Cricetulus griseus: one gene and its partners. The protein of the gene in region 2 interacts with the protein of the main gene of each other region in a biochemical or structural test. Links are inferred from orthologs where the notes say so. Each region holds a gene or a part of one and is shown on either strand. Other genes may lie near its edges.

Region 1 (3,567 bases), on a different chromosome or scaffold from region 2:
ACAGAGATCCACCTACCTCTGCCTCCCCAGTGCTGGGATTAAAGGTGTGTGCCACCACTGCCCAGCTCTCTCTCTCTTTTTTAAAGATTTTATATTATGCATACAACATTCTGCTTCCATATACATATCTGCACACCAAAAGAGGGCACCAGATCTCATAACAGATGGTTGTGAGCCACCATGTGGTTGCTGGGAATTGAACTCAGGACCTCTAGAAGAGCAGCCACTGCTCTTAACCTCTGAGCCAGCTCTCCAGCCCCCCTCCTACTATTTCTTAAAAACATTACTTACTTTGTTTATTGTCTCCAGATGCAACCTCAGAAAGATACCTAAAATAGTCTCCTTTCATTTTCAAGTAGAACACCTTGCTTTCTGGCTGTGTAGCATTGGGAATGAGATATTTGTCCAACAGCTCCTAAAAAGTGATTCACATTAAGAATTTTGAATTGTTTCTGAGATGTTAAAATTACATTTGCGATTCAAGATATGCACTACTACTACTACTGATTTTTCTGAAGACTAAAAACAACAACAAAAAAACCCCCTAAACCAACAAACAGAAAAACCTAACCAACTTTCATCCAAGCTACTAAATACCGTTTAGCCAAGTCCTAAGAGCAGAAGCCTGTACCCTTCACTTACAAGTCCTCTGACCACCGTAAGGGCTGGCTATAATGCAGCTACTACAATGGGATGCGATATAAAAAGGATGGCACAGAACTGCATTGCTCACACAAATCTAGCTGGAAAAGACTATCAACAAAAGAATCTCACTTTAGTATTAAAATAAGCATGGGTACATGCACACAAAAATGTGGGGAAGCCTTGGAGGATTCTAGGAACAATGCTTCTCTGGATAATAGCATTAGAAGTGACTTTTAGTTCTTAACTCTTCTGTCCATCTTGTAGAAACAAACAAACTCCCCCCCCCCCCATTTAAACTTTTATTACTTCTGTAATTTTGAGTGTGTGTGTGTCTTTCTATTCTGGGAAGGGAAAAAAAAAGCAGCAATAGAACAAAACAGCAAGAACTCAGTTTAAAATTGATCTGACCTGGGAAGAAAACCTTCTTCTGATGCTTACTGTTTGTTTCCACATGACCTGGAGAGGAGGCTGAGGACCCCAAGCCTCAGATTCCTTGGTTGTACAGCGGGGAGGGGCAAGGGGACCAGCATGGCCACCTTCTAAGGTAGTTATAAGGACAAGCGAGGTAACATCTAGTGCTTAACACGTTGCTTGGCACGTAGTAAGCACTCAGAGAGTCTAGTACTATTATTAATAACAAATTCCTTTAAACATTTATGCTTACAACAAAAGTAGTTCTGAAGGAGTCCAAGCTTCGTATACAGAGCAATATTTTCGAAGAGTTGTTTTAGAATGTGGCATCCTGAAAAACTGGTTAAGAGGCAGTAAGTACCATGCTCTTCTTCATACTCTTTCAGATGCTCTTAAAAGCTGGTCTACAATTCAGGAATTATGGAACTCTCTTGCCTTTGGAATGCAAGCCATACTTCATCTGAATACCAGATGTACCTAACATTCAGGAATTAGTGCACCATTAACAAACCCCCAAACAATCGACAGGCAAAAAGTTTAGCCATGAAACTTTTATCTTACACTAAGAATCTAATAAAGAGAAAGGCTCAAAGCACAGCTCAGCTACCAAGGATTTCATTAATCAATGTCAAAGTATGCAAGAGGTAGTAGCTGTTTTAAAGTACTGTGCAGAAGGGCGTAACCCCGTGGGTTAAGGGTGAAGAATGCGCATGACAGCTGACAAGCTTTATATTGGTTTTCAAAAGAAGATGTCAAGGGAGGTAATCTGGGAAGACAGAGAGTAGGGCAGGAAGGAAATCAACAAGTGTTAATCCCTTTCCCTTTAAAGCAGCCCTCATAGTTAAGTTTTACCTGATTTCACATAGGAAATAAAATTCCCAGTGTGCTCCAGATATGAGCGAAAGAATATAATCATTAAGTGTTTTAGGACTGGCAACCCTCCCACCCAAGCCCACATGTAGTTAGAAGGAACTACACCTGACTATAGTATACATAACACACGGGAAAAGCCCCATACCACCTTTGGTTTGGCTTTGGACTGTACATTGCAGTTGACAGAATGTGCCAAACCTTCAACATCAGATTGCTACACTTTGTGAGGGCAGGACCAAGGAGAGGCTGAAAGGCCTTTCCATCTCTTCCTTTCCAGAGACGATTCACTCCCTAGAGCAACCCACTCGTGACTGCATCTTTCTAACTAACCTCTCCATCTGGCCTCATTTCTAAAGAAAAATGGAGGAATGTTGATGAAATGTTATGTTTGTTGCAAGCCTTTTTGAGAGGAGAAGGAAAACATCCCAGAAATGATCAACTGATCAGAAAGGATGATAAAAATTATATCATATTCTTTAGATCAAGTTACAAATGGCTTTCACTCTTTCCTAAGTTGTTTGAGTTTGTATCTGGACCATGATGCCTAGGATGAGTGTGAAAAGCACAAGTGCAGCCCTCACCAGTACGTCATTGCAGATGTCCTGCAGCTCAGCCTCTATCTTCTCACGGTACTCTTTGCCCATCTGTTGCTTCTTCTCATTCCTCTCTGTTTTCTGTTCGATGCTGGAGATAACACGCCAGGAAGAACGGCGGGCACCTACCACATTCTTGTAGGCAACAGAGAGTAGATTTCTCTCTTCATTGGAGAGTTCATGTCCCTGTTCTGTTACAGCCTTCATAGCTGCAGCCATATCATCGTAGCGCTCAGCTTGCTCAGCAAGTTTGGCTTTCTGTACCAGCTCACTTTTGTCCATGGTCATTCCTAGAACAGCAGCAAGAGCACAGAGAAAGCAATGTCAGGCTACCAGCATACTCAGAAGCACAGCCCCCAATGCCATCAAGAATGTGGATCATGTACTGAATATCTACAGTCAGGACTGGGCTGAGGCCTTTGTTACCAACAATCCTACATGGAATATTCCCAATAACCCTTCCACCTTCTTAGAAAACATAAATATTGGGGCTGGAGAGATGGCTCAGCGGTTAAGAGCACTGACTGCTCTTCCAGAGGTCCTGAGTTCAATTCCCAGCAACCACATGGTGGCTCACAACCATCTGTTATGAGATCTGGTGCCCTCTTCTGGTGTGCAGATATATATATGGAAGCAGAATGTTGTATGCATAATAAATAAATAAAAAAAATCTTAAAAAAAACACATAAATATTAAGAGAGAAAATAATGGACCCAGAATACCACCGCAAATAAGAGTTAAGGCTTTCAGCTTGCCTGTCTCTTCTTTCTATAACTTGCTTGTTCCATTATCCTACCATCCTCCCCGATACACAGAAACTGCTGAGAAACTACTTGCTTTTAGACATTTCCATGTTCATGCACATGGAAGAGTGCACACATGGACACGTATGAAGAAGAGAGGGCAATTGTTGGAGCTGGTTCTCTCTCTGCACCATATGGGTTTCAGGGATTGAACTCAAGTTTGGCAACAATCTCCCTTTCCTGCTAAGCCATCTTGACAGTACCCTCAACAACTTTTTTTTTTTTTTTTAAGTTTAAACTAC
Region 2 (4,246 bases):
CCGGCACATTCCGTCCTCCCCGCCCCGCCCCTCCCCTCCCTCCACCCTTGGCCTCATGGGGACGGAAACATCCCGTCCCTGCCCGAGCTGGGTCAAGAGCCGGAGGGACAGGCCTGGAGCGCCCCCAACGCCAGAACTAGCTCTCCTGGTTTCTGCTGGGTGACCTCACCTCACCACGCCCCCTCAGGTGAACCAACCGGAGGGGAGCGTCACTTCCTGCCAGGTAAGCGCCCAGAGGCTGCCCGGCGAGGCTGGAGGTCAGTTTGCCCACCATCCCACAGCTGTGGCCCGTGAAAATAAAGCAATTCCATCTCAGTTCGCACTTGGGATTTTATTTAAAAATTCCATAAAACCACAAAAATAGACCTGTAAGGTAGCAATATATTACTTAATATATTATAGTATACTTAATACAGTATCCATTTTAATATTACAAAAAGAAAACACGAAGTAGACGACCCAATATATATAAATACTATAAAATCTTATTACAATAAATAAAAGTCGTCATAAATAAAGGGCCCACTGGTTGGAGAAGGGATTTGGCAATGGCTTTGGCTATTTGCTTTCGGAGGGAAATTTGAGCACCAGGATTCTCCGTCAGGGGAGGCTTCAACCACCAGACACTGAAACTCCGGGTCTAGTAAAAACTGGGATGGGGTTGTGGGAGCCAGCTCTTCACAGCACTTAAGATTCCAGGAGACCAGAGTTGGGGAGGGGGCTGGTGCATGCCTATATAACACCAAAACTTAGGAATCTAAGGAAGGATTATCTCAAGTTCAAAGACAGCCTGGGCTCTATACTAAGCCCTATCTCAGAAGCAACCCAAAAGAGTTGGGCCTGGAAGACCAACTGTCAACTGTCCCCCACAAAAATGCTACATTTTAGGTACCTCATGAACCAATACACCCAAACACTGAATTTGCAAACTAGGGACCTGCCCCAGCACAGCACCAGGGGAGTGGGTTAATGCATTTTGGAATGTCAGGGAGGCACTTAGGGATTTAGGAGTCCCCCCCTAGGTCCCCACAACAATAAGCAACCCTCTTGAGATCTAGCTGACCCACACTAGTTAGGCATTTGTCACTCAGAAACAGAGATGCGATTGAAGATGGGGAGACGCCTTGGGGGTGCAGTGGGTGGGGGAGGCCCAAACACCCCAGCTTCAAAGACGGGTGAGTCTGACCCACCCAGGCTGCTGCCGCTGCTGGCATAGTCATCTGGATCGGATCCCAGGGAGTGTGCAGATGGGCTCCGAGCCAGGCCACCCAAGGGCCCCCAGATGGTGTTAGGGGTTGACCTTCGGCAGGAGGGGCAGCAGGCTGGAACGGGGTCTCTTCGAGTCACAGGGGTCCCAGGGGCAGCAGAGAAGGCAGAAGGGGAAAGTGGAAGGTCCCCGGGTGGTGGTGGGGAGCTAGAGGGTGAAAAGGAACATGAGGACAGGGAAGGGCCAGGAAAGCCTGGTGGCGGCGGCGAGGTTCTGCGGCCAGAGGGCAAGCCCGAGAAGCTGATGCTTTGTCGAAGCACATGGGGCTGGCCCGGGGCAGCCAGGTCTTCGTTGGGGTTGTGGATGAAGTGGCATCGAGAGCCATAGGGACAGCGGCCCTGGAGGTAGAACTTGTGGCAGAGTTCCGTTTTGTACTTGGGGTGTCGATTGGCCTGGCGCAATTCACCCAGGCCGTGGGCAAACTGGCACTTGGCCCCGTATCGACAACGCCCGCTCTCCGAGTAGGTCCGACAGAGCTCGGTCTTGTACCGGGAGGCGGTGGTGGTGGTGGTGGTGGGAGTCGCAGTAGGCGAAGTCGGTGAGGGTGACAGTTCAGGGCCCGGGCGGGGAGCCAAGGGTGCAAAACCCGGGGGTGGGGGCACCCAACCGCAGCTTCGGCCCTCCACCAGGCTGGTGGAGCGGCCGGTCAGGCGGGAAGTGACCCCGGCTGGGATGGAGTCAGACGAGTTTATGCTCCAAAAGACCGAGGGGTCGGTCCCTCCGTGGTCGGATGACAGGTCTGGGCCCAACGACAGGAGGCTCTGAGAGGAACAGGGTTCGGTTAGGCCACCAGAAAAGGTGAGGTGACGACGCCCCGCCCGCCCCGGTTTGTAAATAACTTCACAAGCTTGCCATTCCGGTTTGTGGGTTCTGGGTGCTGAGCCCCACCCGGATCACACCAAGTCCGGGGGAGAACCTGATGGTGGGGGATCTGAGGGTTTCCACGCCTCCGAAGCTGAGCCAGGAGGACCCAGGAAGCCCGGTGTCCCCGACTGAGCCAGACACGGCACCCCCAAATCAGAGGACACAACTGCGCCCCAACTTCGGGCCTCTAGACCTCCCCGGATATGACCGCCCATGGGCGCTCCAGTTTCACAAACTTGGAGGAGGGACCGGTCAAAGCCGACCCAGACCAGATCTCTCTCTCTCTCTCTCTCTCTCTCTCCAACTCCCCCCAGCCCTACCCTACACTAGCTGGGGCGACAAACGGCGCGCGAGGCGGGCGAGGGGACCGGGCAGGTGCGGGGCCACTTCCGCCCCGCGCCAGTGACACCAGCGCGCCAGCTCTCGGTCCCCGGGGCCGGCAGGCGCCGGGCTCCGGGCTCGTGGGCGCCCCTGGCTCACCACCCGGAGCCGAGCCGGGCAGGTCAGGGTAGGGCAGGGCAGGGCAGGGCTGGGGCTCCGGAGGACTCGGGAGTGCCGTGCGGGCAGCACTCACCTCGTAGATGGCAGAGAGGTCCATGGTGGCGCGAACGGCCGTGGAGAGGAGGAGACCGTGGCTCGGGCCGCACAAGTCTGGCTGTGGCCGGCGGCGCGAGCTTTCCTTCTTTATAAGAGCTTGCGGCCTGGGGGGCGTGGCGGGGGCGTGGCCAAGGGCGCTTCCCGGACGCGCCCCCGCGGGGTCAGCCCAGCCCACCGGGGGACTCGGCCCCTTCCGCCCCTCGGCTGGCTCGTTACTTTGCTTGAATGTGCCCCAACTCGGCTCGCGGGCAGCCCCGGCCCGTCTCGGGGCGGTGTAGCCGGGGCTTTGTCACCCTGATGGTTAGCGGGGCGTCGGAGTAGTTTTGGAAGGTTGGCGACGATCGGGAAGGGAGCTGGGGTAGGAGGAGTGGGGGCAGGGCCCCGGGGACAATTGACAAGGGCAGGGACCCGGGAGGGCGTGGGCGTGTGAGACACACCGGGGCGGGGCGGGGAGAGACATCTGCAAGAGACGGAGATGGCCAGAGGCCGGGAGGAAAACAGAGACAGACGTACGCAAGTTAGGACAGCCACTCGGGGAGGCTGAGGCAGGAGGCTGCAAAAATTACTATAGAGGGAGTTCTAGGGCCCCCTGGGTAACATGGTGGGACCTTTGTCTTAAGAAGTAAAACGGGGGCCCCCGGCGTTGGTGGCGCACGCCTTTAGTCCCAGCACTCGGGAGGCAGAGGCAGGTGGATCTCTGTAAGTTCGAGGCCAGCCTGGTCTGCAGAGCGAGTGCCAGGATAGGCTCCAAAGCTACAGAGAAACCCTGTCTCGAAAAACTTAAAAAAAAAGGGGGTTAGCCAGAGGATAGTGTGGCTCGCCTTTAATCCCAGCACTTAGGTGGCAGGGGCAGGCGCATCTCTGAGTTCCAGGCCAGCCTGGTCTACAAAGCGAGTTCCAGTTCATCCAAGACTACGCAGAGGAACCCTGCCTCGAAAAAACAAACTAAAAATAAAAAAGGGCCAGGCGGTGGTTGGCACAGTGGCCATTAAAACCAGTTTGATCCCAGCACTCTGAGACAGAGGCAGGCGGATCTGTTGAGTTCGAGGCCAGCCTGGTCTCCAGAGTGAATTCCAGAACAGCCATGGCTACACAGAAAACCAAGTTTAAAAACAACGCCTGCGCTGCCGGGGGTGTTAGCGCACGCCTTTAATCGCAGCACTTGGGAGGCAGAGGCAGGCGGATCTCTGAGTTCAAGGCCAGCCTGGTCTACAAGAGCAAGTTCCAGGACAGGCTCCAAAGCTACACAGAGAAAACTCTGTCTCAAAAAACAAACAACCTAAAGTCCCACAAACCAGCCAGTAGCATATGGCTGTCATCACGGCATTTCAGAGGTGGGGGGAGATGAAATCAGGCGTTCAGTGCCAGTCTCAGTATTGATCGAGTTCCAGGTCCGATTTCTAAAAAGAGAAACCACTAAGGTGGGGGAGGGGGGGATAAAGAAGGCTCGGTGCTACAGTGGCTACTTGGCTCCAATCCCTACTACAGAAAAAATAAAATCGATGACATATGGATGTA
Region 3 (4,133 bases), on a different chromosome or scaffold from region 2:
AGCACAGAAGCCAGACGAGGTGTCTGAATCCCTGGAACTGGAGTTACAGTTCTCTGTAAGAGCAACAAATGCTCCTCCTAACTGCTAAGCCATCTCTGGATCATTCTTAAAGCTCTGGTTTTACTTACTAGCATGAACCTATGAGCAGCCTTTATTTCCCATCATATCTTAGGGCTACAAGACAGCAGCCTTCCAAAACCCCATGAGAGCCAGGCTGCTTGGCTACACTATGCCCTGAGTCCCTTGCCATGGGGCTCAGGACACTACAGAGCACAGGTCTCATCTTATCAATCCAAAGGGTCACCAACACAGCCTGTTCCACTATATCCTCTTCCCTTGCTGTCCCATAAAAGGCTCCTTGTTTTGACATTGTTTCACTACTCAGCACCTAAAGTTTTTAAAGTATAAACTGTAGAAATCTCTGTGGTGCCTGTCACTGAAATGGGATTTCTTTTAACCAGATTCCCCAGGGTTGTGATTATGACTTAGTCAATATTTGGGTAGGAACATGCTGGTGACTGCTGTGCTGACATTCTCCAAACATCTTGGCTCTCCTTCCTTCCTCTATTATTAAATCTTAACACATAGATGTATGAGAAATCTGCAATTTAACAGTTGAGTCAGCTTCTAAGATCCAGGAGCAGGCTGCCTGTCAAAACAGACTCCAACTTCAATCTTCACCCACTTCTGACTACAGAAGGATAAGCACAAGGATTGTTTAATATGCTGCTAGGGGTTTTCTTTTCAAAACTATTCAAAGGAGGAAAAAATACACAAACTTCTCTTTGTTAATTATACCAGAAATCTTAAGTGACAGCCTAGGATAGTGTGTGTGTTTAAGCAGAACAGGAAGGGAGAAGGGGGTTTGTTGTGAAGTCCTTATATTGTGTTCCAACTATCCAGGAGAATGAACAGCCAGAGTACCCCAGTCTGCTGATCCGTAAAGGCAGATGGCATCTCAGAGGAGGGAGAAATCTTTCTGGGAAAGAACATCTGTCACTTCCTCAACAATACAGTTAGCTGTGGTCAAACTGTGCACTCACCTCCAGTCCCCAAGGTCAGAGCCACATCATCCCAATCAAGTCCTTTCCTCACTTAGCTACTAATACGGATGGAAAGGGAAGTGAAAAGTACAATTATTGCAGTATCCAAGGCAGGGTAAGAGTCCCTCCCCTACACTCAACACCAAGCAACAACCAAGATCCTGCAGCAAGAGCTTATAGAAGGGGAAAAAAAAAAAAAACTGATGCTGAGGATGAAAATAGCAAAAACATTATCACAGAAATTAGACTTATTTGCCCCCTACAAAGTACCGGGGTTTTAGTCCCGTTGATGGTATATGACAACAGTCTCACCCGCAACTCATGTGTAATATATAATAACTGAAACAAAGCAAGCTGTGTGGGCTGAAGGGGAAGAGAAAAATATAACACAGGAAGTAGTTCGCTCCTCCAATCATTGAGACACCCCAGGGGAAAGAAACCTGACAAGTGACCTTTAGAGATATGGCGTAACTTGAAACCCTTGGGAGAAGAAAACTTTGTAGTGACCCTGAATGACAGACTAACACTTCACTGGGACCTTTTGAAATCCCCATTCCCCACTACCAAAGAAACAGAGACACAAAGACACAGAAAGAAACGGATCCACCTAGAGAGATGAGTGGCTTTCCCAAACACAAGAACAGGGTTTCCTGCCTTGAAGTTGCCAGCTACCAGGACCAAAGTAGGCTTGCAGAACTAGCACTGGGCCGAGCCTGGCTTACGCATGAGGTTTCCCACAGTGCATGGAGCAATGGAAACCGCGCGGCGGAGCCTGCGGGGCAGCGCAGGCCAGACGCTGGCGGTTCCAGACAATCGCGGGGCACGGAGGCGGGGTCCCCAGTCTCCAGCGCCGCGCCGACGCGCCCCACCACTGCGCGCCGACCTCGCGAGGCCGGGGAGAGCGAAGTCACTTTCCGGCTCCCAAATAAGGAGCAGGGTTAAGTAAACCTCAGAGAGCGAACTTCTCCAAACCGACCGACCAACCAGCTCAATGAGTAAAGGGCCTTTTGTGCCCGCAGAAAGGAAGGAGGGAGGGAGAGGGGATGGGGCCGCCGTGTCCTCGGCTCCGGGCGAAGAGAGAAGAGGCCGTCCGGGACCCAAGCGTGACCACGGGCTGGATCCCACTCACACCCCAACATGGCAGTCCCCGGGAGTCCTCTCGGGTCCCGGCCACTCGCGGGGTGACCGGAAGCTGCCCCGGATCCCATTGCGCTCCACGGCGGCCCGGACTTACCTTCAGGGCGAATTTTTGCTGGGTTCTCTTGTCGAAGATCCGCAGCACCTTCCCATTGATGCCCAGGCCCAGCACCTGGCTGGTGACCTTGTAGTCATCGGTGATTGCGTTCTTTCGGATCTGCAGGCCCGACTTGACGTGGAACTGGGGGAACGGCGGCGGCGGCTGGGCCGGGGCGGGAGGCGGCGGGCTGGGGAACGGCGCCGGCGGAGTCTGGCCGGGAGAGCCGGACAGCATGGTGCCCGGGGACTCGCGCGCAGAGGCGGGGGCCGCGGCCGCCCCCTCCTCCGGCTCGGGCCCGGGTCCCCGCCACGCCCCGCCCGGCGGCGAAGTTTGCTCCGGGCTGGAGCCGGCTGCCCCGCCCCGGCCCGGCTCCAGGCTCGGCGGGTCGCGGGGCCCCGTGGGTCCCGCTGTGCGCCGCGGGCGCCCACCAGCCCTGCTCCCTCCCCCCGGAGACGAGCGCTCCGGGGAACGCGGGACGGCGGGGCCCGGCCGGGGGGGAAATCGCCGCGCCGAGAAGTAGCAGCCCCGGGGGCGGCGGCCGCGTCACAGGCTGCTCGGCGTCCTGGGCTAGTCCTTAAAGGGGAGGATCGAGGGTGGGGCTTGGGGGAGGCGTGGGCATGGGGGAGGGGTGGGCCTTAAAGGGGAGGATGTCCAGCGGCGGGAGAGCAGAGGGACCTAGTTGGCAGGGACTGCGAGCTGGCCCAGGTCAGGGAGAGACCACCGAGAAATCCTAGTTCTTAACCAGGGCCTGGCAAAGGGAACGGCGAGGGCAAAAGAAAAGCGACTGGATAATTCAAACAAAATCTGTAGTTCTCCAGCTGCTGGAATCTAGAAGATAGGTCATCGGAGAATTTGGAGAGGATGTGTATTTTGAAAGAAACGAATGGCTGATAAAAATCTGCCTACGTGGCCCCTAGGATATGTGGGGTACTGGGGCAGCGATAGGGTTACCGAGGCTATTCATCAGGTGTCAGGCAATAGTAACGATTTCCTTAACATTCCTGTGCCTTTTACATTTTTTTTCTCATGGGTTTACTGTTTTTCATTAAAAATGCATTGCTGTGCAATCATGAACAATTCAGTTATTGTGCTTTGAGCATATTTTTAATGTAAATCCAAGATGGGAAAAAGATGGGGCACTGTGGACCCCTGTAATCCCTGCTATGCACAGAAAGCTGAAGCAGAAGGATGACAAGTCAGAGGGTCAGCCTGAGCAACAAAGGCACAGTATCGCAAAACACCCACAAATCACCGTGCCTCTCCAGTATATACCTTTTCATTGTTTCTGAATTCATGGAGCTAACATAGCAAGGGGGAAGGGCAGGAGACTGGTTCTAGGGTTGGGGGAATTTATCCCTGAGGCTACAAACAGTAAGAAGTATTTCTGAAGCAACCTAGTTCTAGTACAAGTTTCTGAGGAAAAGGGGCCTCACTGGCCCATAGTGTAGCTGAGATCCACAAGGGTTTGACTGTTAGAGTGGTTGAGAAATGAAATGAAGGAACAAAATAGCTACACAGTTCCAGTTTACTTACAGATACAGACAAATTAGAGATGGAGCCTGACCTATGGCCACAGACAGTCTCTAATGTGTTCCAAGAAAACTCTGGAGATGAGGCAGTATCCTGAGAAAAGGGTCTTGGAGACATAGCCTAGGAGAGTAAGGCTCTTTTGCTAGTGTCTACTCCCTGTTCAGATTTTCAGAAGACGCTTGTCCCAAGGAAGGCAGAGATGAAAAAGTGAAGGACTGTAGTCACCCTTTCAGGATCCAGCAAAACTCACTGTGGAACAAGGAGACAACTGGTCCCCTTTCAAGTAGCACTTTCTTCAGTACTGTGTTCAATGCTCTGTGCTC

Evidence for each region.
Region 1: the proteins of Zfp36 (region 2) and Ywhab form a complex in vitro, tested with the Homo sapiens proteins (2 studies listed by BioGRID). The link is inferred for Cricetulus griseus from reciprocal best matches to the Homo sapiens genes ZFP36 and YWHAB.
Region 3: of the proteins of Zfp36 (region 2) and Mapkapk2, one has a biochemical effect on the other in vitro, tested with the Homo sapiens proteins (2 studies listed by BioGRID). The link is inferred for Cricetulus griseus from reciprocal best matches to the Homo sapiens genes ZFP36 and MAPKAPK2.

What each region holds. Positions count from the first base shown.
Region 1 is NC_048599.1:15,508,070-15,511,636, forward strand, and holds part of Ywhab (14-3-3 protein beta/alpha), read right to left. Parts: intron 2,813-3,567; 5' UTR 2,811-2,812; coding exon 2,511-2,810; intron 416-2,510; coding exon 292-415; intron 1-291. UniProt on the Homo sapiens protein: Adapter protein implicated in the regulation of a large spectrum of both general and specialized signaling pathways. Binds to a large number of partners, usually by recognition of a phosphoserine or phosphothreonine motif.
Region 2 is NC_048602.1:7,508,733-7,512,978, reverse strand, and holds Zfp36 (mRNA decay activator protein ZFP36), read right to left. Parts: upstream 2,816-4,246; 5' UTR 2,730-2,815; coding exon 2,706-2,729; intron 2,029-2,705; coding exon 1,084-2,028; 3' UTR 313-1,083; downstream 1-312. Other genes in the region: putative uncharacterized protein FLJ46214, read right to left, coding at 2,816-3,188. UniProt on the Homo sapiens protein: Zinc-finger RNA-binding protein that destabilizes several cytoplasmic AU-rich element (ARE)-containing mRNA transcripts by promoting their poly(A) tail removal or deadenylation, and hence provide a mechanism for attenuating protein synthesis.
Region 3 is NC_048598.1:57,962,734-57,966,866, reverse strand, and holds the start of Mapkapk2 (MAP kinase-activated protein kinase 2), read right to left. Parts: upstream 2,820-4,133; 5' UTR 2,515-2,819; coding exon 2,278-2,514; intron 1-2,277. UniProt on the Homo sapiens protein: Stress-activated serine/threonine-protein kinase involved in cytokine production, endocytosis, reorganization of the cytoskeleton, cell migration, cell cycle control, chromatin remodeling, DNA damage response and transcriptional regulation.